Kluyveromyces lactis: one gene and its partner. The protein of the gene in region 1 interacts with the protein of each later gene in a pairwise test. Links are inferred from orthologs where the notes say so. Each region holds a gene or a part of one and is shown in the gene's direction. Other genes may lie near its edges. The genes, in order: MIA40 and ATP23.

Region 1 (3,422 bases):
ATGCATAACGGCATTTTGAACTGAAAAAAAAATTGTAGCGTGGGGAGAAAGCAGACAGGGTGGGTCGGAGAACAGGAAACAGGGCCCGAACTATACCATCGATACGCTAACGATGAGCTTGAGAAAAGCGAGATTCGGAGTGACTTTTGGAGCTGCTGTTTACCTCCTGTATATTATGTGTTTGGGGGGGATAACGCTGTGAGTAAGTACTCCGAATTTAACAGGCAGATAACGTAATATCAGGTGAGCAGGCAATGGTCGGTCTTGGACCTTATGGTATCTTGGACAAAAGACAGCGTCCAGCAAGTAGACTCCGTGGCCAAGCTGGTTAAGGCGTGCGACTGTTAATCGCAAGATCGAGAGTTCAATCCTCTCCGGGGTCGTTTTTTTTGGAGAAAATTTCTTTCAAAATTGATCCGCTGCCCGTACTCAGCCAGATGATGATAGATAAATCAGACCCTAGTGGACAGGAAGGAACGAAAGGCTGATCAAAGGTGGCGGTCAAAACGCCGGTGAAACCTTACTATTACTTTATTTTGATTACTATTATGCTTAATACTCGTAGCAAGGGCTATATATGATCAGGCTGGCCATGTTTTGGCCTCTATTTCAAATCCGTCTACATAACTATACAGCACGAATTGGTTTTCTTTGCTTGCTTATAGAACATCCTCGATGCAGCAGATAGTGATTCGGACTTGTCTACCAAATTGTCCAATTTCTCACCTCTTTGTAATACGTTTTCAATGGTTTTGTGTAGCGTGATCTTGGTCTCGTCTAATTCTTGCTGTACACGCATTATTGCATCAGCTTGAGATGGGTCCTGATACTTGGCAATATAGATATCCAACTCCTTCAACTTGAGCGAATCGTCACTCTCCGTCACGTCCTTCCACTGGATAGGAGGGTGCGCTACCAAATACTCATCCAATACTTTGTTCAACAACGTATAAGCTGGTCTTACTGGGTACTCCTTATCCGTAATCAAAACACCACAAATTCCTTCAGGCCTTGCGTAAACGTGACCTACATAGTTACCTTCTTCAACACTCTGTCTTTGACCAGCACTTGTCCTGCCAGCAACAGTCTCACTGAAAAAGGACATGAACTGTGCAACACTGTTCCTTTCAAAGAACCCAAATTGTGATAAGTCCTTCACAGAACTTAATTCAAGGGTCTTATCATCGCTGTTTCTTAAAACTCCAATGTAATATATCTTCATCCTTGTATCCTGTATCCTGTTTTCTCCCACTTGTCAAATGAGAAAAAAAGCTACTATTTTGCCCAAACTTAACTATTCTTAGATCCCCTATACGTGTACTATAACACTGTCCTTCTCGTCTCCGTGTTATCTTCAAAATACATCATCATTTCCCATCCTCATATCACAATGCTTCAATATCCATTTTGTTTGATATTCGAATTTTTCTTTTTTTTGCTAACAAAGGCATTTTCAATTTGTCAAAGGAACATTTAAAAGAGAAGCTGATTGATACCCACAACGGGAGGAAAGAAATTTGCTTTTAGTTAGGTTTGGTATTTTTACAGTACACTTAGAAAACGTTTGAAAGTTGCTGACGAGTCAATTGATTATAGGCATATACATATTTTTTTGAAGACAATGTTCCGTGTTTCTTTACAAGCTACTAGACGTGTTGCTTTTAGATCCGCTAGACAAATTAGGTTTTACAGTGCTCATCCACCTTCCGGTGGAGTGAGCCATATGAACAAGCCAGCATTGTTGTTGGCTGGGTTCAGTACTCTTGGTGCCATCTACGTTGCTGATGGGTGTCCTACTTTGATTGAGAGGAAGCCTGCTCCTGCTGAGAAGCCTGCTGAAGAGACTCCTGCAGCGGGCCAATCACAATCTATTTCTGAACCTACGAAGGATGCCGATGAATCTCCGGTGTCTGCTCAGGAGGAAGGTGCTGAGCCAGTTACTACTCCTGAGAACGAGATTACTTATAGCGAGGAGACACACCAGGCCTTAGCAGCCACCTTATCAGGAGATGAGCCAGCTGCCATTGAGCCAGTTGCTGAATCCGTCAATGAACAAGCTACCGAACCAGCTGCCAGTGGAGAAGCCACCAATGAACCTGTTACTGGCATTTCCGAGGATACCAAAGCTCCCTCTTTGAGCTTCGATGACTCAAAAACTGCCAAGGGTGTTGTTTTAGAAGATGAAGCTGACAAAAAGGAGATTCAACAAACAAGCCCAGATGCCGTAAAAACCGCCTCAAAAGACGGTTCAGAAGGTGAATCGGATGTTGTTTTGCATGAAAAATCTCCTGCTGAAGCTGAGACCATAACAGAAGCAGAAGAGCAAGCTGAAATTCGGTCTATCTCCGGTGGCACTGCTGAACAGTCCGCTACTGCGGCTGCTGCGGCTGCAGGTGTTCAAGGTGAAAAAAAAAACGAACAACAAACTGCATACAACCCAGAAACTGGTGAAATCAACTGGGATTGTCCTTGTTTAGGTGGTATGGCATACGGTCCTTGCGGTGAAGAGTTTAAGTCCGCTTTTTCATGTTTTGTCTACTCTGAAGCTGATCCAAAGGGTATCAACTGTGTTGAGAAGTTCTCCACTATGCAAAATTGTTTCAGAAAATACCCAGACTATTATGCTGAACAAATCAAGGATGAAGAAGAAGCTTCTGCAGAAGCTTCAAAAATCGAGGATAAGAGCACTACCCCGGTTTCAACTGCCACCTCTACTGTTGAAGTACAAACTGAAAATGCCGTTTTCGAACCTGTCTTGGAAAAATATGTGGAAGAAAACCCTCAACTAAAGGATACTCCTGAAGCTGCCGCTGTCACGAACACTGACGATGAAAAGAAATAGAATCTTCCCGACCCTGAACTGCTGCCGTTAAAGATACTTTTTTAAATTTGCCAATGAGCATCATGAATTCTGACGTTTGAACAAAGATAATAAAACTAAAGCTAAAGAAATTAAAAAAATTACGTGGTTCCCTTGTTTGTGTTATATCCAATTCAAATAAAAGCCCATGGCTCTCGTAATGAACTGACCTGTTCATCGAACTCGCCTTCTTTGTCCAATAAAAAAAAAATTAACATACATTCTTATTACATTCTACAATTCCATTCGACATAATGGCAATGTGAAAACGAACAAAAATCCAATGAAATGTTCTGATAGCGTGTATAAACACTACATAAAGACATTTTCCTAATGATATGCCATGCTTATTCTGTTTTCAAATTAGATCCAGTAATTGGTAGAGAAAAATTGGCTCAAATCTTGATTCTGTTCTGTTTCTCCTTTGTAACCATAAAATATCTCCCATAAGGACTACATTTACTCTTTTATTGTTATATTTACTCACAGTGAATACCGGAGCTACCTTCTCTTTGCCAAATATATTAATTGAGGCAGTATCATTATCAGTTTTTCTGAAGGA
Region 2 (2,828 bases), on another chromosome or scaffold:
TAGTAGAATCTATATACAAGATCTTTTTCTCTTCAAGATGGACGATGTCTCTACTAAGTTCCGCAAATATTTTTTATCGTGACCGTAAAATTTCAGTAGGGTAACATAAAATCATTGACACTATGCGATTGATGATTTAATAGATTACATACACTAGCGAAATTGAAATACATGAATTATAACACTGGACGACCTTTGATTAGGTATTTCTAGTGGAATAAAGTTTTTACGCTTCCAATTTTTATTTGACTCGTTTATTGTTTTCCGAACTGTCATTGTTATTCGAAAAGAATTGATTATGAATCAAATCTCTAATGTACTTTTCAAGCTCTTCTTCTGCGTTTTCACCCTGAATTATGCTCTCTAGTTTCTTTCTACGTTCCAAAGATTCGGGATCTGTCTCGTCTACTGGATCGTTCTCTAACGTGTAACGTATGTTGTCTTTAAATTGATTTAACTGTTCTTTATCAATACCAAGAGAAGTATTGAATATGGTTTCTCCGAGGACTTCTTCCGCATATCTCAAAAGGTCCAAGTTGTCGTCGCATGTTTCTTGCCACACCTGGAAGCATGTCTTTCCCTCGTTATTCAAAAGCTCACGATCAGCTCCTAATTGTTCTATTAGAGACCTGGCTGTAGTCGCATCTTCACAATGGTGAAGTGGTGTGTCATTGTCAGAGTCCTTGATATTTACATCACCATTATGCTCTTGTACAAGCTTCTTTAGCAGGTCGATATGACCATATGCTGCAGCCGCGTGGATTGGGGTGTATCCGTTTTCATCCTTGTCGTTTGCGGTTTGGCCTTGTTTAATAAATTTTTCCACTAGTTCGGTCTCCCCGTTACTAGCTGCGATCCAAATATTCATGCTTCTGAAGTCTGATATAGCTATTGTGTCAGTCTGGGCACTACTGAGAATGAATCTAGACAGAAAGGCAACTAATATCTTCAAACAACTTCGAGAGATGCTGTATAGCTCATCGCCAGCTCAAATCAGTTTAATCGAAAAATTATTAATAGTGAAGGTATAGAAAGGAAAAACCACCAAATCACGTGTGTGAAAAGAAGATTGCAATGTTGTATACACATTTCTGAAATGAACCATTGATAGCATTCCTAAGTGTTTATATGATCTAAGGAAAAAATGTTTATATTCATTTCAGGATGAACACACTATTTTATGCTGAATCTCACTTTTGTCTCTGCACAGAAACAGATCTCCGTAGGTCATCTTCTTCATTCGAGTATCACTTGAAATCATAAGAAAATTTGAATATCTACCTAACCAACAGCACTAGATTAAGAAAAGGAAGGCTTGCAAACCTGTGTACTGAAGCGATAGCCAGTGAAAAATGTCCGTACCACCGCCTCCAAAGGAAGATTTGATAAAACCTAATCCGCCGAAATCAGAATCCGCTGTTAGCGGCTTCAACTGGTGGAGAAGAACGTTCCAATACAAAACGGGCCTGGGATTGACACCGGAAGAGGAGACACAGTACGAGAATGATTACAAGTTTGTGCTACAGCGTAAACAGTGTTCCAAATGTTATGAGTATAGAGATTGGTTGTTAAACTATTCACCAACTGTCATTTTTATGACGCAACAGATAGCCAAACTTAACAACAAAAATACTAATGCAGATGTTTTCAAGTTTGACGAATCGAAGATTATATGTGATGTATGTCCGGACTGGAAATCTGGTGGTTTTCATCCAGATTTAGGTATTCTAATCTGTCAGAATAGAATTAAAGATAAATGGCATTTGGAAGACACTCTGGCGCATGAATTGGTGCATTATTTCGATAATTTGAAATGGGAAGTGGATTGGCTAAATTTGAGGCATCACGCCTGTTCTGAGATTCGAGCTTCAAGTTTGAGTGGTGAGTGTCGGTTCTTCCAAGAATTTGCAAGACGTGGGTTCAATACTGGGTTTAAGGTTGATAGAGGTCATCAAGCTTGTGTGAAAAGACGTGCTGCGATCAGCGTTTCAGGAAATCCAAATTGTAGAGATAAAGAACATGCGGAAAGAGTTGTAGATGAAGTCTGGGACTCATGCTTCAATGACACAAGACCATTTGATGAAATATATAGATAAAATTATCCTTGTATTGTAAACTTTTTGACTTTTCTTTTATATAAAAGGTATCTAGATTTACCTTAACCTTGTACATATTTATTCGACGACCATTCATATGAATATTTCATCATTTTGGTTATTCTGCTCCAAAATTAAAAGATCAAGTACAGCAAACCAGTCATACTTGGTCCTAAACAAATCCCAATCCAGAAGGTAACATTATTAAATAGTTTCTTATCTCTGAGCAATGGAATGTTTGATAAAGCTGTAAATGGAATTTGTGACATTTGCAGGATAATGATATAACCACGGAACTTGTTGAAAAGAACAAACATGGCTAGCTCGTGAAACACAGAACTTAATAAAAATGTGAATAAGGTGGCTTGAACTTTACTCATGTGATACGCACTAATCGAACTGTGATATACATGTCTCAATAAAAAGCTATGCACCGGACGATTCCACAATCTGCTAAAATCATACCAGGAGCAACAGTTCCACCAATCAGAGTAGAAATGGTGGTCTGCAAAACAGGACAATTCGGCCACACAGTTTAAAATTGCATCCCAAATCAAATACCAGACCAACAAAAACATCATAATAAAACCTGGTGCCAAGTCCAACAAGAGCTTCGGCCATACCAGGTTCTTTTCCCATAATGTGAGGTTGGCATCTGCCAAAATTTTAGCTTTCAAAATAACAGGCAGCATGAATTGTTGTGCAACAACCATCATGACAAAGATGATACCA

The links.
Region 2: the proteins of MIA40 (region 1) and ATP23 interact in binary tests that used the Saccharomyces cerevisiae proteins (3 or more experiments, as listed by UniProt). The link is inferred for Kluyveromyces lactis from reciprocal best matches to the Saccharomyces cerevisiae genes MIA40 and ATP23.

What each region holds. Positions count from the first base shown.
Region 1 is NC_006040.1:227,945-231,366, forward strand, and holds MIA40 (Mia40p), read left to right. Parts: upstream 1-1,621; coding exon 1,622-2,842; downstream 2,843-3,422. Other genes in the region: palmitoyltransferase YKT6, read right to left, coding at 620-1,222; mRNA splicing protein SPP382, read right to left, coding at 3,219-3,422. UniProt on the Saccharomyces cerevisiae protein: Required for the import and folding of small cysteine-containing proteins (small Tim) in the mitochondrial intermembrane space (IMS). Forms a redox cycle with ERV1 that involves a disulfide relay system.
Region 2 is NC_006039.1:795,192-798,019, forward strand, and holds ATP23 (putative metalloprotease), read left to right. Parts: upstream 1-1,352; coding exon 1,353-2,096; downstream 2,097-2,828. Other genes in the region: KLLA0_C09108g (uncharacterized protein), read right to left, coding at 242-868; ARE2 (sterol acyltransferase), read right to left, coding at 2,231-2,828. UniProt on the Saccharomyces cerevisiae protein: Has a dual role in the assembly of mitochondrial ATPase. Acts as a protease that removes the N-terminal 10 residues of mitochondrial ATPase CF(0) subunit 6 (ATP6) at the intermembrane space side.